2 linked regions of the Schizosaccharomyces pombe genome follow. The gene in region 1 interacts genetically with each later gene. Each region holds a gene or a part of one and is shown in the gene's direction. Other genes may lie near its edges.

Region 1 (10,552 bases):
ATATTTAATTACAACGTTCAGACTTTCGTGGATTCTTTTATTTAAAACGAGAATAATTAAATTTCGCTAATTAGTCGATTTCCTAATAAGTGATTGTGTTGAATTGTTGTGTTCAAAAACATTTTTGTATTTGCCAACGCAGAAATATATTACATATTTGGATAAACTATCGAGTTCCTAACCTTTATTTTCTGAGCAAACTCATATAAACCTATAATTTATACATCAAGATTACTCATCGTTGTTCAACTGGAAAGGTACTTTTAACATTGAATGTTTCATGACATTTTGATACCTGCCTAACGCCTATGAAAATGCATAATGCGCCAGACGAATACTCATCTTGAAACGTTTTCTCTTTTTGACGATGTTTGTACTTGTTTGCTAGTTGACAAGGTGTTTTATTGGTCCCAAATTCATAAAGTACGAAAATTAGTGGATCGATCAATTGAGCGAATGGAAAGCTGTTCTATTATAAATATTATAACCAAATATATTATAGAGCAAACAGACCTTGACCAAGCGGCAAAAAATATTCTGCAATTTCGTGAACTTGATCCATTGTTGCGGAGATTGTCAAGCACTTCTTTACTAGCATTTACTCGACATCTGAAGTACTACCTCTCATTATATCTACCATCATGCAAATTTGAAATTTGTTCAACAAACCAATACTTTTCTTCCTCAAAGCCTGAAGCTTGCGTAATAGCGCGTGAATCAATTAATGCTGGAGAAGATATTACAGACCTCTGTGGAACAATTATTAAGTTATCTCCTAAAGAAGAGCGGAATATAGGAATTGGAAAAGACTTTAGCATCCTTCATTCAAGCCGCTTAGATTCGATGTGTCTATTTTTGGGCCCTGCACGATTCGTTAATCATGACTGCAATGCTAACTGTCGATTTAACACTTCTGGTAAGCGCATTTGGCTGCGCTGTGTAAGAGACATAAAACCAGGTGAAGAAATTACTACCTTTTATTCTTCTAATTACTTTGGCCTTGAAAATTGTGAATGCCTTTGTGTCTCATGTGAACGAATGGGCATCAATGGTTTTAAAAAGCTTTTCCATACTAGTGCTACTTCAACAAGTTGTTCTTCCAAGAGTAGTTCTGATGTTTCCGATCTGTCTTCTTTGCCGCAGTCAAATCGTTACGTGATTTCCGAGGAAGATCGTAGCTTCTTGAATATTTGGGATTCAGGTGGTGAACTGAGTGATGCGTCCAGTTCTGATTTGGATGAGGAGTTTTCACTATTTATACCAAGGCACAAAAAAAGGGTGTGGTCTCGAGAAAAAAGGCTTTTGTCTGAGATGGCCATAACGAACCATAGTCCGTTACTGAATGTGGATGATTATCGAAAATTTCGTGAAGATCTATGGAAAAAAAGACATGGAAAAAGAAAGGTTTACCAATGCTCAAACTGTAGCCAGACATTTATTAATGAAGACATTCAAAATTCGAGTGCATTTTGTCCGAAATGTATTAGACATTCTAAACTCTTTTCATTACCTTGGCCTTGTAGACATAAAGTTAATCGTGAATTGAAACTAGAGAAAGAAAAGGAAATTAATACAAAAAGGAACTTAGTTACCAGCTCGCATAGTATGTCTCTGCGACACAAAAAAGCTGTTGATTATCAAAGTTAGTTGACTAGACTATTTATATTAAGATTGGAAATTTTGGTTAATTTAGGTCATTGTTAGTTGGACTTTAAAGCATTTATTTAAAAAAAAAAAACTAAAATCTTGCACTATTCAGGGTATATCCGAAGGTGAACAATGTACATTTGAATCATTCCGTTCGCTAATTCAATCTATTGTTGATTTTTTCATGGGATTCACCACCTCTATTAACTAAATATTTGAATGCTTTTAAATTCAATAAATTAACGTTCAATGTATTGACTTGTTTTAATATACTACGTTTTTATAACTGAGGGAAATTTTGGTTGTGTAATATGTCACTATATAAGCTGTGCCCGGTTGGCCTCACAAACTTTACTAGCATCCACAAGTTTTTTAAACTTGACCCCCTTTTCCTTTAACTTTATCAGACATATCCATAATGGAAGGGGAAAATGATCCTTTATTAGGATCTTATAAGCCTAAACGAAGAAGATCGAGTCTTGTTTACGGTTTGTCAAGACCCCAATTTCTTGACACCGCAGCTTCGGAAGTTTCACCTATTCCACAAGAAAGACCCACTACTTCCTTAAGAAAGCCTACACCTAGGGTACAAAGACCTGCGACTGATGTATCATATGGCGCTTTAGAGGAAACAGAAGAAAACGAATCTATTGCGAGTGGCCTTTCAGTACAAGAAGACTTTAATAGCAAGGCATGGTGGAAAGAATTAACATTACTTATTAAATTCGCAACCCCTGTTGTATTAACGTCTTTACTTCAGTATGGTGAGGTGGTTACTACTGTTTTCTCTTTGGGCCACTTGGGTAAAACAGAGCTTGCGGCTGCAAGTCTGTCTAACATGACTGCCACAATTACGGCTTTTGCTATTTATCAGGGGATTGTATCTGCTTTGGATACCGTTGGAACTCAAAGTTTCGGATCTGGAAATTACGAAATGGTGGGTTTACATTTACAGAGGATTCTGGCCATATTGTTGTTGATACAATTCCCTATTTTCTTGATATGGTGGAAAATAGAGGGCATACTTTTATTCCTTAGACAGGATCCTCTTACTTGTATGTTTGCGGCAAAGTATATGCGAGTAATGATGTTGGCTAGTCCGGCATACGCATTATTTGAAGCACTAAAACGTTTCCTTCAGGTGCAAGGTATATTTCATCCTGTAACATACATTTTAGCAATTGTTGTACCTATTAATATTTTTCTTAATTACCTTTTTGTGTGGAGTCCCTGGGTTGGTTTCGGTTTTCTAGGTGCACCGGTCGCTGTAGCATTAACGCTATGGAGTGCTTGTGCTGTTCTAATTATCTATATTATGAAGGTAAACGGACGACAAGCATGGGGAGGTTTTAGTAGAGAAGCATTAAAAAATTGGGGCCCGTTATGTCGATTGGCTGTTCCTGGTGTAATTATGATTTGCAGTGAGTACTGGGCTTTTGAACTCGTTACTTTCGCATCGGGCGTGTTGGGTACCACTGAATTAGCCTCTATGTCTGTTTTGTCTACTACCTCGACCCTTTCTTATAATTTGGCTTTCGGTGTCGCTGCTGCAGCTGCCACAAGAGTAGGAAATTTAATTGGTGCTGGAAATACGAAACTCGCTAAGCTAGCTACGCACGTTTCTATCAATTTAGGTGCTGCAATTGGTGTTATCATTGCTGTAATCCTTTTTTTAACTCGCAACACATGGACTTACATTTTTACGTCTGATAAAGATGTCGTCGCATTGGTTGCAACTATCATTCCCCTTGTTGCACTCATTAATATTGCCGATAATACACAATGTGTAGCTGGAGGCCTTCTTCGGGGACAAGGAAGACAAAGGATTGGTGGGGTAGTAAATTTCATCGCATATTATTTATTGGGTTTGCCTGTTGCCATAATCCTTTGCTTCAAGCTAGATTGGGGGCTGTACGGTTTATGGATTGGAATTGGAGCTGCAATTCTAATTATTGCTGGAGTAGAAACTTGGTGCTCATTGCATGTCAATTGGGACCATTTAGTTGAACTTGCTAATCGTCAGTTTGATGAGGCTTAAAAGTTGATACGGACAAGTTAATGATTATTTAAATATGTATTGTGGTTTGTCATAAATTGATATATTTGAAGAGATATGTTCGGTTTATGATACCATGGTTACGACTACTAACAGTTGATTGATAAAAGTATTCGAGTCGGTACTTTTTCCAGTCTTCAAGATTTGGCCATGTTTTGGCCTATCCTAAAAATTAAGTTTACGAAAATTGCAGTGCTTTAAACTCTCATATTTATGAAGCTTATAAAAGTAAATTAAATTAATGGTAATTTGGAATCTTTTTGGGTGATTAATATATAAAATACCACATATGCTAGCTAGCAACGTTGGGCGGTAGCATTCAATTAAATATTATTTCTTTTTAAGACTTACTTAAAGAATTAATTTAAGTTTGAATAAATATGTAAATCATCTTGCAGATGCGAGTATATTAATTGCCATAAATAATTCTGTTCGCAGTGAGAATAGTTACCGAGTACAAATCGCTCGCTCAGAATTATTAAACGACTTAATATCAAAAGTTAATAAAATATGTCTCTGGTTTCATATCCTCGATCAGAATCCGAAAGCGATATTGAAGAAGAAACACCATTAGCTTCTAAAAGTTTCGATCCTACTTTGTTTCAGCATGCGCGCAGAAAATTGTCGGTTGACAGCACTAAAAAGTCACCTAAACGCCTGAAACGGCAAGTTGATTTACAGAAATCTTCTTTTAATGATAAAACTTTTAATGAATCTGATGTTATCTCTAATGAACGATTTAAATCTAATGATTTACTTGAACTTTTGCCTGCCCCAAAAAATCAAGCTGAATTAGCTCCAAAGTCATCTAAAAGATCGGACCTTGATTTAAATGAAAACTATTTATTACCTAATAACTCTGTAAGCGATTTAACCTCTACTGGATCCTCCGAAACTGTCAAGAAATCAACGTATTCAGAAAAGTCTGGTAACGTTTCGTTATTTAATATCGTAGGATCAGAGTCAAAGCAAGCCTCTTTAGTAGATTCCGATCAGAAACCTTACCAACCAATTTTGATAAAACCTAAAGCTAGAGCAAATCCTCCGAAATTGAGGAATCAACCCGAGAACGATTTCATTTCTATTGCTAATCACTCAGTACATTCAAATGCAGAGGACATAAACATTATCAATGAAGATTACATTGAAATTGGACGCCACCGAAAAGAGAAGGGACGAATTATAGACGTTGATATCAACAAACTTCCAAAACCGACCCAAGAAGCATTGCCAAGCGCCCCTACTATTAAAAGTGTTGCACCTGGTCGTCATCAACTGTCTTCTCTTGTTGAAATGGCTATCAGTCAAAAAGACAACTTTGAAGCTTATTTTGAGCAGCAACGATCAAACAAAAAGGCATCTTCTCAAAAGTATGGGTTTTAGCTTTAAGTAAATGTTACGCCCCGATAGTTAGTTTTAGGTTTTAACTGCTCGTGTATTTGTAAATTAAAAGCTGTTTATCAACAGATTCATTTTATGTATTTTTTTTTAGTTTCTGCGAAAATAGCAGACAACAAAATATGATTTTACTTATTTTATTTTACATACTAATGACTTTATTCATCGCTATTCATAAGCATACTGATAATACAATATTATCTTTGCAAGTATGTCCCAGCTATAATTCATATTTGCAATGCAACTAGCCTTTTTTTGTTAATTTTAAAAAGGAAACTTGGCTTTAATCTTCGATTTATGGTATATCCAGAGTTTGAATTGTTTAACCATATAATCAGTGTTCTCACTGGGACTACCACTTATCATAGCGTCTACCGATTTTGTGTGACCTATGCCTACTCCACATGACTGAGGTGAAGAAGGATTTCAATAAATTATAAGAGGTTTTCGTGCTTTTAGCATCAATTTTAATAGAATTTGAATTAATATTTGCTATAAAGAAGAAGGCTCGTCTTTTGTTGTACTTCAGGGTGCTTATATGATACTGTGTCCACATTTTAACACTCGATAAGGTATTATAGTCTGTAAAGTCTAATTAAGCTATCCTGACGATGAAAGAGCAAGAGTTCTCATATAGAGAAGCAAAAGATGTGTCTCTTGACTCTAAAGGCTTAGAAAACAGTTTTCTTTCTTCTCCAAATCGAGAAAAAACACCCCTTTTTTTTGAGGGTAACAGTAATGAAACCTCGGGATATGATCAAACAAAAAACTTTACACATGGAGATGGCGATATGTCCCTTGGAAACCTTTCGGAACTAAACGTTGCGACAGATCTTTTAGAGTCACTTGATTTAAGAAGCATGTATATGCATGGCTATGGGCACCTCGATTCATCTTTTTCTTCTCAACATAGTCCTGATAATCGTAAAAGAATGAGTAGTACATCAGTGTTTAAGAGGATTAATTCCGAGGAAGAAGGTCGCATTCCTAGTTTGACGTACTCGGCAGGAACTATGAACTCGACAAGTTCTTCTACTGCGTCTTTGAAAGGTGCTGATATTGTTGCAGATTATGAAACATTTAATCCGGATCAAAATTTAGCTGAATTATCCTTTGACCGCTCCAAATCGTCTCGCAAGAGGGCGGTAGAAGTAGCAGAATTTAGTCGAGCTAAGACAATGTCTCCGTTGGAATACACTGTTCAACATCCATATCAATCCCATAATGAACTGTCTACAAACCCAGCCCGAGCAAGAGCTGGAAGCGTTCCCAACTTGGCTCGCATACCATCTGATGTCAAGCCCGTACCTCCAGCACATCTATCTGCATCTTCTACTGTAGGTCCAAGGATTCTTCCTAGTCTTCCCAAAGATACCACAGAGGACAATCCAGCGTTGGAAAGGGTCGAAACGACGGCGTCTCTCGATATGGATTATAAACCTTTAGAACCTTTAGCTCCCATTCAGGAAGCCCCTGTTGAAGATACTTCAGAGCCTTTTTCTTCAGTCCCAGAGGCCACCTTAGACGACTCAGATATCTCTACAGAAAGTCTTCGTAAAAAGGTTTTGGCCAAGATGGAAGCAAAACGGATTTCCAGTGGATCTTCCTATGCTAGTACACTTAGGAAAGTTTATGATTTCTCTGAGCTTTCCCTTCCCACCAACGGTAAAGACTATGATGAGTTATACCTTCAATCTTCCCGTAATTCAGAACCTGAGATTTCTACTATTATCAATGATTCTTTACAACAGGAAAATATGGATGAGGATATTAGTGCCACTTCAATTCCGAAATCTCAGGCCGCCTATGGTCATGGATCTGTAACGTATCATGAAGTCCCCAGATACAATCTAACTTCTGCTTCCGTGGGATATAGTATATCTAGTCAACGTGGTCGTATAAAAAGCAGTTCTACCATTGACAATTTGAGTGCTATTTTAAGCTCTGAAGATTTACGTCACCCATCAATGCAACCCGTACCAGGAACGAAGCGTACTTATAGTAATTATTGTGAAAATGAGCCAAACAAGTCTAGCCAAAGTTTAGTCAGTTCTGAGTCCCATAACGTCGAAGGATGGAATTATTCGGAAACTGGTACAGTAGGTTTTTACGACCCTAGTGCCGAGATATCCGCCAGCATTGATGAACTTAGGCAGTCTACGCCTGTAGCCAGAGATAGCGAACTTTTAAGTCGTGCACATTCCTTTGATTTGAATCGCCTTGATCTTCCAAGTCAGGATAAGAGTACGTCTTACGAAGTCCCGAATGGTACTGAAAATCAATCACCACGTCCTGTTACTTCTCTTGGATTTGTGAATGAAACATTTTTTGAAGAGAAACCAAAGGCGCCCTTGCCACTTGGTCGCTTTTATATACATTTGAACAGCATTTTGAATATTTCGATAAGTGAAGTCCATTCACCTATCAAGATAATAGTTAATACGCCTACGCAAAATATGCAGCTTCCTTGGCAAGCTGTTAATGGGAATAATAGGTTGGACCATGATTTTGCTTTTCATGTTGACGATAACTTTAAAGTGAGTTTTATGTTTCTTGACATCCCTATTGAGGACAAGTCCAACGGTTCGAAAGGAGTATCTGCTACAAAAGACGTTTCAAACGGTAAGCCTGCTGAAACGAAATCCAAAGCTAGGAAATTTTTTGACAAGCTTTTCAACCGACGCAAAAAGAGAAAACTCAACAAGGCTGCTGCAGTTGAGAATTCAAAGGCTAAGAAGTCAGTGGTTATCAAGAAAGTCTCGGGTACTGCTACGTTAAATTTGGGTAATGTCAAAGACAGTTGTTTTGGAAAGGCTTTCAACGTAGAAATACCCATCATTTCCAGAGGCTTCTTGGAAGCGATTCCTGTAAAAATAAACTCTATAGGGAAACGTACACTTGGTAATCTAACTTTGACTTGTTTGTATATTCCTGAGCTTTCGGTTCCAGAGCAGGAATTGCCATTTACCTTAGAACAAGCTACGATGGACTTGCGACACGTTAGAAGTAACTATCTATATAATGAGGGATACTTGTATAGATTGGAAGATTCATCTATTCGAAGACGTTTTGTCGTTTTACGCTCAAAGCAGCTGAATTTTTATGCTGAAAAAGGTGGGCAATATTTGGATACTTTTCAGCTTTCTAAGACAGTAGTTTCAATCCCAATGGTAAATTTTTCAGAGGCAGTTTCAAACCTCGGTCTAGTAGCTGGAATATTGGCTACATCTGTTGATAGAAGGCATGTTCAGTTGTTTGCGGACTCTAAAAAGGTTTGCCAAAAATGGCTTCAGGTGATGAATTCACGCTCGTTTGCTCTAGATAGGGGTACTGAGAAATTATGGTTACAAGAATACGTGAATTTTATGGCTTAATATCTGAATTTATGAATACTAATCGTCTTAATGTATTTTTTGAATAATTTTTACTTATCGGATTTACTAAATGAGGGAGTTGAACTGAAATTATATAACTACTGAATTAATACTTATAGATCATTTTTCATTTTTAATCTGAATAATTAATCAACTTTTGGTTTTTTGAATATACTCTATAATGAGTAAAGTAATATAAAGGTGTTTTGTGTTGGCTAAATTTACATTACCTATATTTTGCCGTACGCACTCTAAATTGTTACAATAATATAGGGGTCAAGCAACTACTCAAATCACATTATTTAAAGGAGATGCAAAAACAAGATGATTTTTCATTTAAATATTGGACTATCAAAGTCCAACGGGGGTCAATTTTAAAAAGCCATGAGATGGAGAACCTTCAAAGTACATTGGGTTTTCCACCTCCTGAGATGACCTTTGGGAATAATTACATCTCAATTGAATACAAGAATCAGCCTGTAGTTGGATTTTTTACTGAAGATGCTCTTAAAATGGTTGGTACCAAACCTGAAGATGTAATGCAAGTTTCTTTTGCAAAAGACTGGGCCAAATCCAGAATTAAGCCCGGAGAAGAATACCCTGTGATTTACCCATTTGATTGGACTTATTATACTGATTATCAGGGAACTATACAACGTCCAAATGCAAAATTCATTGAAATTGATCAGGTAATACCTGTTCAAAAAATACTTAACGCAGGACAAAATTTATGGTTCAATGAGATAATTCTTTTCGAAGATGAGTTAGCAGATAATGGAAAATCAATGTTTGATGTGAGAGCTCGAGTTGTTCAGGGTCATTTAATATTGTTAGCACGCCTTGTCGTACGTTTAGACAAGGTAAATGTTCGATTGAATGAGACGAGGATATATATTGATTTGTTGAATGATTTTCTCTTGAAGGACTGCCGTAAAAAGCAAGCTACTTACGACAAAATTATTAAACAAATACCTGTGGGGGGAGACAAAGCTGCATTGCTAGATGATAACAATTGGTTAAGTGAGCGCCTTGATACCGTTGACCATAAAATCTATAAATTGAATTTTTGATGCTAAAATGATTCGCTAATGGCAGACATGAGAATTTAGAACTTTTGTCAACGAATGAGTGTTGAAGCAATTTACAAGTTTATTACGTTTAGTTCATGGTAATATTTATAATCATTTTCAACTAAGAGGTTATTAATTTAGGTTTTCTAATTGAGAAAGCAAAATAAATAGATACAATCTTTGGTACGATTAAACGGCGAAGATATACTACTGAAACTGCAAACAAATTTAAAATGGTCCAGTAAATTTTAGAGTATACTTAATTAGGAAGAATGATGGCCTCGTAATATTGATCGTTCGTTATAACATTGTATTTGGCAATCAACCTGTCACAACCTCTCTTCCCCTTTATATTGTACGACATTAATCGATCCGTTTTTTATTTCAACCCAACTCCTACGTATTTATTTGCAGGTAATAATTAATTTTATTAATTAAGAAAAGATTATCAAAAGATCCTTATCGTCATTCAGTAATGAGTCGCTGCTGTTTAAATTTGCCATTGAGACCAGCATTTGTTAAGCAGCCGGTATGGGGGAAGAGTATATACGGTCCCTTAAGAAGAAGATTTTCATTTTCTCCAATAAATGTTATTAATCATTCACCTTCGGAAACGAAGAGAAGAGACCCAGTAGAAGAACTCAGATACAAACCCCTTACACCTCCTCAAGATCCACGTAAAGTGGCTCCGCCAAATAGTTTTCTAAAGAAAATAAGTCTTATTTATCAAAAATATATCTCTCCTAAACAAAATTTATATTATGAGGCTACTGGTACTGCAAGATACATGTATTTTGAGGCTGCTCGACAAGCTACCCCCGAAAAAAACTCGCTAGGTGCTTTTGAATTTTGGTACCAGAAGTGTGAAATTCCTATGACATTTCAGTCTTGGTTTCAAATAACGCAATTACATTTGTGGATCCTCCATACTCGCATTCGTGGTTTGCCAAAAAATGAAAAAGTTGCCTTTTCACAGGCATTAACTACTCGTTTCTTTGAAGACATGG
Region 2 (12,799 bases), 390 kb from region 1:
TTTCCGATTTATCCAAAAAGGCTGATGGACCATTGAACTTTTCAAAACATCTGTCGTATAAATATCAATCACCGGAAACAGTTTACAGTTACAGTTGGTATTCGAGAATGAAACTTGACGATCCTTCCAGTAACCTTTTTGCAGTGTCTAGTAGGGATCAACCTATCAAGTTGATCAATTTTACTACAGGAAAGAACAAGGCTTCATATCACATGATAGATCACCAAGAGAGATATCAAGGATCGCATTGTTTACAGTTTACCAACGATGGGGAGTATTTGATTGCGGGTGATAAAAACTGTCTCCATCATTTTAATATAAGAACGGGATGTAAAGAACCTGTCATGACAACGGTAACCCATGGATATAAAGTCCCTCTTTGGGAATTTAGTCTTAAGGGTATACAGTCATGCTTTTCCTTGAATCCGATGGATTCGAAAACATTGGCAGTGGGAACGTATTCAAATCGAGTTGGGATTTATAATGATTGCGGACGTCGCCCTTGTCAGCTAGAGTTTTCGATTGAAAGAGGAAACGGAGTGACACATCTACAATGGTGTGAGGATGGAGAAAAGTTATATGTTGGAAGCAGATGCAGTGATAAGATTGAAGTTTGGGATATACGGTATGTGCGCGACATGGTATATGCTCTTGAAGGGCATCGTGGCGATACGAACCAAAGGATTCTTTTCGACACTGATAAAAAGGATGAAATTTTGGCAGGTGGGACGGATGGAAGTATTCGTAGATGGAGAAACAAGGATCTTGTGGAAGAAACGCATGTGACGGGAAATTACGATTTGACGGTAAACACAGTACAAGCGAACCCTATAAACATGCAGATAAAGTGTGTATGTTATGGAAATAGAATTTACAAGTATGAGAAGGATGAAAGTGAAGAAGAGGATGAAAGTAAAGAGAAGGATCTTTGGACAGGAACGGTTTCGGCTTTACAGGTTTGGATGGATTGAAAAAGCAAAATTTGGAATGAATGAATACTTGAAAAAATAAAAAATGGTGAGCTTGAAGGAAGAACTTTATGAGGATGATTTGATTATTAATAGAAAAACATTAGAAAACCGGTTCTAAATTGGTGTATTGGTGAATGGGTGTTTTTTTCGCAATCAGGAGGAGTCCTCAGACATGTTGAGGGGTTTCATTATTTAGATTATGATAAATTAAAAAATAAAAGAGATGAATTTTATGCAAATAGTTGATTATAAGAGCGCAACAATCTTTGTATTAATAAAACTACACATTCGCTTATTAAATAACCTTAAACTCGGTTATACATGGATTTCCAAGTGTCGCAAGTAGAGGAGAAATGGAGAAAATGGAAAGCAAAGAATGGATGAAAATTGTAAATCAGCAGTTTCGAACTTTTCAAAAATTTGTTAAAAATATTAATTTTTCAATTTAATTGAATTTTGTTTTACAAGGTGGATACTATGGAGGAAAAAACAAGATATGTATGGAAAAGGTAGCGATCGCAAAGGAAAAAAAATATTAGAAAAGGAAATGGAATGAAATTAATTGAACGAAATGAAAAGGACATGAAAATAAACAGAAGTATAGAACAAGAAAAAAAAAATTTTTTTTTAAAATAACATAAGGATGGAAGTGATCCGGAGTGAATAAATAGAGGGAAATGAAAAAAATAAATAAATAAAAAATAAATAATAAAATAAAAAATATTTATATACACATACATATAGATTGGAAAAAGATGAAAGAAAAAAAATGAACCAACCAATCTATCAATAAGTAAATCAATTAATCAATAAATATATAAAAATAAAAATTCTAAAACCAAGAAAAAAAAAAGAAAAAGAAAAAAGATTGAAATCTTATAAACAAATCCTTCTACGCTGCATACAAACACGTTACCACAGTCTGGAGTACTGTTGGAGAGTGAACCGAGACAGCCGCGGGGCGGTCCTTCGGCGAAACCAACGAGACGTTAAATATTTGCGATAATATTGTATAGTGCAAGTATGATAAAGACCGGTAACAAAAGTATAGCGGAAATTGAAAACCAAGTGCAAAATCTTCCAACGAGCAAAAGGTGTTACCCAAGCACGTCAGATGCATCAACCGAAGCAAAAATGTTTAAACGCAGATGAAAAGCTTATTGGAAGAAAAGTAAATTTAAGGCCAACGATTGGAGGAAGGAAAAAGTTTGATGGGGCAGATCCATTATGTTACACCTTGACTTTGTCGGCAATCAAGTCAAGTCAAGTGCCGAGGGCGCGCCAAGGTGGGTAAAGAAAGAGACAAGAGCAATACCGTGACGATCGGAAAAACCATTACCGAGAAATAAGGAAGGCCGGTAAATGGAATGAAACGTGGAGCGGCCAAAGGAAGAGAGAGAGAGAGAGTAGGAAAGAGTGAGCGAAGAAGGTGTCTGTCTGTAATAAGAGGAAGAAAAAGATGAGATGAAAGATGGATAGAGAGAGAATTGTAAGACATTGATAGAAACATTGATGGATTGGAAAAGAAAAAGAAGAAAAATCAAAAAGATGTTGGCAATTGTTTTGAATTCTAGTCAAAGAGTGAATGTTATATGTTTTTATGCTTAAAAAACAAAAAAACCATTCGAATGTAAGAAATGGTTTGAAGCAATATAGCCAGCGAATAAAAAATAAAAAATAAAAAATAAAAGGAAAAACCGTTCGATTCAAAGCAAAGTACAAACAAAGCCACAAAAGGATCTTACTAATAACGAATGCTACAAAAAACTAGACCAACTAACTAAACAAGTAGCAAAGGGATATAAAGAGGTACAGCGAAGTCACTGAAAAGATGAAGATAACGAGATATACAGATGTCATTAAAAGAGTGGTATAACGAAATATAGTGATATCACAAACCCACAGAATTTTAGGGCTGGTAAGAAAAGTAAAGAGAAGAAAAACAAAACAAAAGAATAAAAAAAACAAAAAAACAAACAAAAGGAAAGGCTGATGTGCATATAGTCTCAAAAGTCAATCGAGTTTAGTTTTACTTTTTCATGAGCATCTAGCATTTGCTCTTGTTTTGTGTTCGGCCGTCTGACTGTTTGGATGAGGAAGAAGAAAATTTTGTAGGGCGGCCGTGAAAGAAAAGGAAACAAAGGAAAAATTAAAAGAAAATAAATAAAATCGAATTAAATTAAATTAAATTAAATTAAATTAAACGAAATAAAATAAAATAAAATAATAATAAAAATAAAAATAAAATAAAATTGTAATTGTAATTGTAATTGCATTTGCTTTTGCTTTTGCTCTAGAAATGCTCCAATGTCTTTCCCTCGTACTAGTGTCATTGTCAGGATGCTGGATGGGCGAGATGACAAACGAGGAATAGTGTGTGCAATAAACAGGAGAGAGAAAGGCAAGTGAGAAGCAACAAGAGTTGAATCAAACTGAATTGAATTGAACCAAATTATTATTCTTCTTATAATCAAATTATTATTCCTCTTTAATCAAATCACTATTCCTCTTTAATCAAATCACTATTCCTCTTTAATTAAATTCCCATTCCTCTTGCTTACTGCCGCTCTTTTTTTCCCCCTCCCCTTGTTTAGATTTGGGTTGCTGAAATTTTCTTTTCTTTTTTTCATCCTCCTCCTCCTCCTCCTCCTTACTTTATTTTGTGTTTAACTTTTTTTCCCTTCTTTCCTTCAACTTTAATAAACCCGATCATTCCTTCCGATTGATCCTCTGCCAAATTTCCACCAAACGGTCGGATCCAAATTCAATGGAAAAGGAAGCGACTGGCGGTCGCACGAAGCAATGACCATGGCAGATGGATGAAATGATAACATCAACGGAATTAATTTCCTGACAAATGATGATACAAAGTATTGAATGAAACATGTCAATCATCATTTACTTATCTACATTTCCCACACTCTAGTGAATTTCATACTTTAGCTAATTTCAACACTTTAGCTCTAGCTACTCTTCCACCTCTTTAATTTTTTCTTTAGCTCTCTCCATCTCTCTATCTCTTATAACAATCTCTTTTTTTATACGTTATTCATCTTTAACCTCTCCCTTTCATCCCATCTCAATTCCTCCTTCGACTCTCAATCGCCCCCCATCTACCTTCTTTCGCTCTCCTTCTCCCCAACGAGGTCGCGTTCCTCTTCGCTATTCCCCTCTACTCCCCTCTCTCGCCCCACACACCGCCTGTCTCGCTCACTCAACTCCCTTTCGCCCTCCCCCACGTCATCCCCCCTGCTTGCTAGCGTTTAGCCTTTCGTTCTTCCTCTCAGCGTTTAGCGCGGTGCAACGGATTGTGGAGTCGCTCGCCGGAGGTAACACGTTGTAGCCGAACTAAAAGTGACATCATACTTCGGCACTTGCATGGGTGGGATTCCCGGAGATCGTGTGGATTTGCTAGCTCCTCCATCCAATGCGACTCGGCAGTTGATGTAGAGCGGCCATTCGAGATTACATGGGAGATGCTGTAGTAGACTGCGTGTTTCGTATACATATATTATATACACCTGCCGTGCACCGCAATACTTTTTGCCTTTTCCCATCCACTTTTTTTCATAGTATTGTTGAGAGCCACATTGATTGATTCCTTTTTATCAAGGAATTGAACCTGTTTCTCGTCGTCTTTTTTTTTTTTTTTTAAACTAGCAAATAAAAAAATTCATTGTAAGATTTGAATTATACTAAAAAGCTCTACTTCACTCCCCCGTCAGTCATAGTCCAACAACTTTGACTCAACAAAGCAAAAGCAAAAGCAAATCAAACCATACGATACGATACGAAAAACGAAAGTTTTTTTTGTCCATTGCATTGCTTTGATTCCCTTTGGTCTATCTGCCTTTGATTTCTTTTCTGGGTAAAACAGGAATTGAAAGAATTTTGAGAAAGTAAACGAAAAAATAAAGATTGAATAAAGCATAAAGATCTTATTTCCCATCAAAACATTGTTGTTATTGTTGTGATTTCTTCTGAAAAACAACAAATCAATTTCCAACTTTTCTATTCATTTACGCTTTTTTCCAATTCCCTTAATTTTCCATCCATCCATCCATCCTCATTGAGTCGAATTCTTTCTACTCAATTTGCCATTCGTCCCTTCACCCTTCCTATTCCACTCCCTTCTTTCCGGCTTCTTCCGTTTCGTTATTTGGTGTGATCGGTATCCCGAAAGTGAGTGAGTGAGTGAATTGTGTGATTCTCTTTCCCCCTTGGTATTCTTCCTTCAATCAACATTCTTTCGAATTCCCTTTTTGGGTTGATTTGTTCTTTGTTGTTGTTTTTTTTGTTTTGTTTTGTTTTTACGTACGTTCTATTTTCTATGAATACATAGAATTTCCTGTTTCGTAATCTCAATTCATTTCTCATTTTTCATACTTTATTTGAACCCAAGGTTTTCACACTTTTTCTTTATCTTCTCTTTTTTTTTATTTCCTTTGTGTGCTTTTCTTAAAGCCTCTTTTTTTTCCTCTTTGTGTGTCGTGATCGATCGGATCGTCTCGTCGGCTCACTTTACCTTGAATTTCTCCCTTTGGAAAATATCTACTGATATACCTATAAAAAGGTTCCCCATTCCCAATTAATTCCAGTATTGTTTTTTTTCCCTCTTCCTTATTTCCTTTTTTTTTTGTTCTTGAAATCTCTCATTCCTTTGTCGTTGCGCCAAAGAATTTTCCATAAACAATAACCAATTCGTTGTTGTCAGCGCTCGATTTCCCATCAAAAAAAAGTTATCTTCTTAGGAAATACTTATTTCTTTTCTCTCTTCAACCCTTTTCTTACTTGGAATTTATTTATTTATATATTTATTTATTCATTCTTCCCTTGTCATCCGTTGTTTTAAAAAAAACTCGCTTGACATTTCCTCAATTTCCCATCTCGTCTGACAGTATCTCCGTTACAAACTAATATCTGTCAAAAATCTTTGATTTTTCTCTACTTTCTCTTTGACGTGTTTGTTTATTTCTTGTGTTCCCATTCACTCCGTCTTGAGATTGCCTCTTTGAATCGTACTTTCTTACGCAATTGTTTTGTGTCGTACTTGAAAACTTGTATTGTTAAATAGTTTAACAACTACATTCCTTTGAGTTCATTCAAGTTTCTCTTTTGTATTTTCCTTGTTGTATTCTGAAGTTTTCTGTCTTTTTTCTTCCCTGTTTTTTACCTTTTTACCAAACCTTCCACTTGTTGTTTGGTTCATTGTAAAACACTTTTTTCTCTAATCTTACCGGTGGTTTGCTCTTCAGTGAACTAGAATATTTCTTTTGTTTCTTTATTTTACAATTGCACATGATTGCCGTTACGAACATGTCTGTCACCCCTCCCAATGTACAGTTTAACCTTAATGGGGATAGCGATCATAAATCAGACAATTCCAGTTCCTCACTGGAAAATAAACTTGACACTGAATTAAAAATAACGAGTCCTCCTCGTAACCCTCCTCAGCGTTTGCATCCTGTCGACTTTTCTGAGCACGCTGATACGGACGATGATATGAATCATCCTCTTCCCAGAGTTCAATCCCCCGTCCATATAAAGAATCACATTGACCCTAAACTTGCCGAGGATCGTTATCGTTCATCTGCTGCACGTCACTTCGAACCTATTTCCATTCCCCCTTCCGCTATCACCTCTGAGGATGAAGATGATTATCATGGCTCTGCTAATTCTTCTACCGTCCTTCCCCCTCGTACTGAAAATGCTTTACATGCTGCTAGTCCTAAACCTTCAGGTTCGACTGGTTACACCTCTCCTGCTCTTTCACAAAACAGCGGCAGTGGTGGTGAAGGCGAATCTGATGAAGGCTCTTTTAACACTCAGCATCATCGCTCCCCCATTTTTCAGGCATACCCTTCTTCAGAAGACCTTGTCGGCGATCCCAACGATCCTTATCGACGCACCCGCCGTGCTCCTATTAAGACAAATCCACATGATATCCCTTCACAGTTCATTTTCAGAAAGTTGGGTCTTCATCATGGAAAGCATGGTCATCATGGACACTCTGGTAGTTTATCGTTGAAATCTCTTGTTCCTAATCATCATGACAAGCATGATAAGCATGACAAGCACGAAAAACATCATAGTTCTTTAGATCTTCGTCGCTTTTTCAAATCCCATCAAAAGACAGACAAGGAGAAAAAGCCATCTGTTTCCAAGTCAAAATCTTCCGCTAACCTCCAAGATGATCATTTCGGTCTTTTCAAAAAATACGGAAAATTTGGAAGAATGCTTGGCTCTGGTGCAGGCGGTTCTGTCCGTATTATGAAGCGATCTTCTGATGGTAAAATTTTCGCCGTCAAAGAATTCCGTGCAAGAAGGCCTACTGAAACCGAGCGTGAATATGCCAGAAAGGTTACTGCTGAGTTTTGTATTGGTAGTGCTTTGCACCATACCAATATTATTGAGACCCTTGATATTGTTGAGGAAAATAAAAAATTCTATGAAGTTATGGAATATGCTCCATACGATATGTTTTCCATCGTAATGAGTGGTAAGATGACAATGCCTGAAGTTTATTGTTGTTTCAAACAACTTCTCTCAGGTGTTGCCTATTTACATTCGATGGGTTTGGCGCATCGAGACTTGAAACTCGATAATTTGGTTGTGGATAGTAATTGCTTTGTTAAAATCATTGATTTTGGTAGCGCTGTCGTTTTCAAATACCCCTTTGAAGCCGATATCGTTGAGGCCACTGGTGTTGTCGGTTCGGATCCATACCTTGCACCAGAAACCTTGGTCCGGAAACTATATGATCCTCGTGCAGTGGATATCTGGTCCTCCGCCATTATTTTCTGTTGTATGGCTCTTCGCCGCTTTCCTTGGAAATATCCCAAGCTTTCAGACAATTCTTTCCGTTTGTTTTGTATGAAACAGCCTTCAAATGATGCTGAGTCTCCCAGTGATATACTTGCTGACATAAAAAAACAGCGCTTAGTCGAGCAAGGATGCGAACCTATTAGAAAAACCGATGAATCACATAGTCCAAACTCTAAAACTGATAACTCTTCAACTCATAAACAAGAGTTGTATGGACCCTGGAGACTTTTGCGCCTACTACCAAGAGAAACTCGTGCTGTTATAGCTCATATGTTGGAGTTGGATCCTGTTAAGCGTTACGACATTCACAGGGTCTTTGCAGACAATTGGATTAATGATATTTCGATGTGCCATATGGAAAATGGTAAAGTTATTCATTCTCCAACACATGTCCATAATTTGGTGGCTTCAGAAGAGTCACCTGCTCCACCTGCAAAGCATTAAAAACTTATATTGTCTTTCCCACGTTTGTTTACAAAGTCGCCTTGGATATTGGTGATCTGTTAAACGATACCAAAAAATGAATAATGTGGTGGCTTGTTAATGAGCTAATCTCTTAATCGTTGACGGTGTAACTTAGTTTTCTTTTCAGACTTTTTTTATGTTAAAAAATACTTTATTCTTTGATTATTAGGGACATTTCAATTTCTTACTATAATCTCCTCTATTTAATAGTCAGTCCCTTTTTTATCAGCTCAACTTTATGATTGTTGGTGATTTTTTTTTTCTTTCTTTGGTTATTATATTATTATTATTGTCTTTGTGAGGTTAGCTTGTTTATGAGTTATTTATATGGTAAATAGGGGAAATCTACTGTGGTAGATTAAAAATATCTCTACAATTTTGAAAATAAATGTAAAATTGTCGCATCTTTGAATTTGGTTTTCATTTTTTAGTAAGTTTAGATAATACAATACAATTCATTAGTCTCAAAATTTTCAAAGATCGTGTTTGAATATGATATTTTGTCCTTTTCAACCGTTGTCAAAGTTGTTGCAAATATTGAATATATGCAGTGTTTACTTCAACTGTATAATAATGGTAAAACACGTGTTCAAAAAATAAATGCCTAGGCATCCATGTGCCCTGAAGCAGCTAGTTTTTAAGCACTAGAGACAATTTCTTAAAGAAGTAGAACATATCTCATGCAAAGTTTTCGAAATCAAATTTAAGGAAGACGACATGAATACAACGGAATGTGTGTGCTATGTTCTAGCATCGCTGACAGGACAAATATATTTTAAACAAATATCCTATTTTCTATAGGAAAAGTAAAGAAATGTAAAAAAACAGTTAGATTTGTGTTTTATTAGGAAATACAAAATATTTATAGGATGGGTTCACGAACAAAAGGAAGAGATCCACTTTTTTCTCAAACAATAGATCTTAATGAGGTATATGTGTTATTAACGAAAGGGCTGAACAAGAATAAGGAGGGTTCATCTTGGATTAATTGCCAAATGCATAAATCAAATTAAACACATTACTCATAAACTAATGACTTAGTTAGCGTGTAATTGTTTCAATGCGAGATCTGACTATTCAAACAAAATAAAATAGCAACGATCGAGCAAGTTTCTTACCATATACTAAACTGTAGAACAATGTCCAAGTTAAAACATAAGAAGGTGCGCCATCTAATATTTTAGCGATCCAAAACTTATATCCGGGCTGGTAATACTTAGTTAAGTTACCACGCATTTTCAATGCAAAGAGTAGAAAGGAGACGAAGAAGTAACCGAGTACATACAGAGCAAGCCCTTCATATGAAGTTAAACCCAAAATACCAGCTGCGCACCCGAAAAAACTAGAAGTCAAGTTTCGAACAAAAGAAACGACCTTTGGATTCATTAGCACTCAATTATAAAATCCTTAAAAAAACTAGTACCAAGAAAATCTAGCTCTGCAATCATTTCTTACCTGTTCATTATATGCAACATTTTCTACAACAATTGGAGCGACGCCTTTATCCCTTTCCATATTAGCTTATGAACAATTCTGATGTTTAGTTGAGTTCACCGCTTGTAGAATTATAACCAAAAAATGATGGATAACGCATCTTTATACTGCGGTATTAACTACATAAGGACTTAGTAGGAACGTAATTTTTTCGCAGCTTGACGTATCCTTAAAAGCATTTTGCAAACTGCGTAATTGCCAATCTTTCATGTAAAGCTACAAGCGATATGGATATGGGAAAAAGCATTACTTTTTGCTTGGGCTGAATGTTGGCTAGTTTGGAGGGTGAAATAGTTTATTCAATACAATTGAGTACTTTATTTTTTTCCATTTGATTTTTTTGAACAGAAATGGGCTAATTACTAGGATATTGGGAAATCGCATTGTTTAAAAGAGGTTCTCGTTTTACATCAAGGTCGATTTTTCATATTTATTTGTTTTAGAAAAAAGTATCATCTTATATTTCCTGTATTACTGGTTTTCTAATTCTAAAACTTGAAAATGGTGGATGAAACGTTACATACTAGATTGTTTACAGTATACCGAAAGGATTAGAGACTCGTGAACATTCGTAAAAGCGACATGCTTATACTTCCAAGAGAACGAAAAGCGAATTTCATTTCTTATTTACAATAGAATAGTTATTCTCATCATTCAGTCACGATCACTTTTTTCTTTACCAAAAATTGTATACCTAAATAGCACAGTATAATCCACCGCAAATTAACGTATCGTTAATATGTTTATGATCAAATACTATGTATTTGCATACCAACGCTGCGATACATTAAATAAAAACAAGCAGAAATATGAGAATTCAATAATAAAGGAAACATTTAATAATTCCAAAAGCGAATTGCTAATTTTTTAATTACTTTATTTTACAATATCCTATAGCACATCAATGAAATCAAGGTTTTCAGTCAAGGTTGGAGTGATGTTGAGAGTAGTAAGTGTAAATACTAAAACCCATTGCGAATACTTAGTGGATAATATCTGTTTCTTTTTTACCAAAGTCTCTCTCTTTGTATAGCTTATCAAGTTATATGTTTGGCGCAATTCATTTGTTTAAAATACAAACATAAAAACAATATAGTTGTAATGAAATTGTTATTAAATTAGTCGATGAGGGAAGTATGAGTATGCAAAACAAAAATAAAGAACCAAGAGAAAAAAAATCGAAAACTTTTTAAAAGGCATTATGAGGGCCGGTAAAATAATGCAGCGTTAGGATCAGTTGCATGCTTTTCCAATGAATAATCTTTTCGAGAATCAAAGACTTCCCAATGCACACATGGAAACACATGGCGATTTTGTAAATAATATGATTTTTGAACTAGATGAGGAATGCATTGAGAAGGAAGTTGTGTAGTTGCAACCATTTCTGGACTAGAGCATGACAGCTTATCAAAGTCAAATAAAAGTCCATCACGTCCTTGAACTTTATTAATGTAAAAGTAGTAAAGCTCATGGTGATGGGGAATGATTAAATCAGATTGAACCAGTAAAAATTTATCCATATCCAGAATCCTCTTCAAAAATGGGATTTGCTGTTTCATATCAGCAAGAAAGTGTCCAACCGAATCTTTCAATCTAGTCCTTACATGATAAGTGGTACTTGTTCCATCGTAATAGATAAATGGTATCAAAATCTCTTTTTCCCGAATTTGCTCCTGCTCTTTTAGCCATTGTTTGCGATATTCGGCTCGCTTCGCGTTTTCACGTATTTCTCGCTCTGCATCTGGCAAAAAGGAGGTATCCGCAGATGGATCCTTTCCCATAAACATTTTTTTCTCAACTTTTTTTAAAGGTAGATCATCATTCTCCAGTTCTTCATCTTCACCAAAAGAAAGTTTTCCTTTGTTAACTTTAATGCCCTGTTTGACCTTTTTGCTTAAAGCATCTTTTCTCTTTTTTCTAAAATTGAATTGTCAGTCATATTTAGAATACTATCGGGCTTTTCTCGTTCTTTTCACTTACATTTTAGTACTTGTGGTTGATAGCGCATGTTTCTCTCGTTTTTCAACGATGTTTTGTTTTACTCTTTGATAATCCTTTAAATGGACTAAACCAGTCGTACTATTTCGTAAAATCTCATGAATTTCATCGGCATCAGTATGGCCGCTCATTGTATGAAGAATTCAAAAAAACGTGAGTGGTGAGCGTTCTTCCAAATAAGCTTGAATACCCAAAATACCCTTTTTTTGCCTCGGTTTTCAAATCTCAAAATGAAAGAAATGACTATTACTATATTTATCGTAGAAGAAGAACATGTTTTTTACATTTACCTATGAGGGATCCTAGAATAAACGCACACTTTGCCAAAGTCACGTTGCATATAAGTTTTTTATATTTGTCAAAACGGTTATTAAATAGAATAACAACGAGGTGGGGCACTTTGAAGCATTCTGTAATCTTTAACTGCTTGTATAGACACTTTTTAAAACCAATCTAGAGACAAATAAAACGAATTACTCGTTTGTATTAACAAGCTTTGGAAAAATAGCAATAGATTAAAAACAAAAAAAAAACTAGCTAATCACTAGTGTTGCTATAAATACTCTAATAAATTTTCGTATCTGGTCATTGAATGCAAAACCATCTTTCGAATGCCAATATATAAAGTCATTAAAGTGATCCTAAAAAATCATCATTATCCAATGTTCATCAAATTCATTTTAATTTGTCCACTTCGCATCGCTAATAAATATGAAGCTCGCTGGTATACTGTCAGATAAAATAAAAAGAAAATTTTCAAGAGCTGTCCCCTTTGAATATACGTGGCATATGCTTTCCACGAAATTGCTCAATTGAATTGGCAATACCAAAGTTTCGGCCAGTTTCCACTACTAAAAAGCAAGCAAGATCCTCACTACTCCAGTAACTGCTATGAGCCGAAAGCATAGAAAGATATTTGTTTGAAATGACCCCATGGGCACTCGTAAATACGTAGTCCAACTGAGAGTTTTCATTCAACTCTTGCATGCGCCACTTGGCCCTTTCTTCTCTGCGAAAATTGCGAGTCTCTAACTCGACAGTCTGTT

What was found.
Region 2: mutations in SPOM_SPCC4B3.13 (region 1) and oca2 together harm fitness more than expected from each alone (negative genetic interaction), as found in Schizosaccharomyces pombe (one large-scale study listed by BioGRID).

The regions. Positions count from the first base shown.
Region 1 is NC_003421.2:1,145,376-1,155,927, reverse strand, and holds SPOM_SPCC4B3.13 (MatE family transporter), read left to right. Parts: upstream 1-2,000; 5' UTR 2,001-2,065; coding exon 2,066-3,685; 3' UTR 3,686-3,971; downstream 3,972-10,552. Other genes in the region: histone lysine H4-K20 methyltransferase Set9, read left to right, coding at 322-1,647; protein Cwf20, read left to right, coding at 4,214-5,086; anillin-related medial ring protein Mid1, read left to right, coding at 5,713-8,475; TIP41 type 2a phosphatase regulator Tip41, read left to right, coding at 8,787-9,545; ubiquinol cytochrome-c reductase assembly protein Cbp3, read left to right, coding at 10,021-10,552.
Region 2 is NC_003421.2:754,342-767,140, reverse strand, and holds oca2 (serine/threonine protein kinase Oca2), read left to right. Parts: upstream 1-4,516; 5' UTR 4,517-6,287; coding exon 6,288-8,240; 3' UTR 8,241-8,773; downstream 8,774-12,799. Other genes in the region: heterotrimeric G protein beta subunit Gnr1 , read left to right, coding at 1-971; protein Emc6, read right to left, coding at 9,280-9,290, 9,380-9,635, 9,717-9,776; xap5 (splicing factor, xap-5-like protein), read right to left, coding at 10,955-11,672, 11,736-11,884; SPOM_SPCC1020.13C (DDHD family phospholipase), read right to left, coding at 12,510-12,799. UniProt on the Schizosaccharomyces pombe protein: Overexpression causes cell cycle arrest.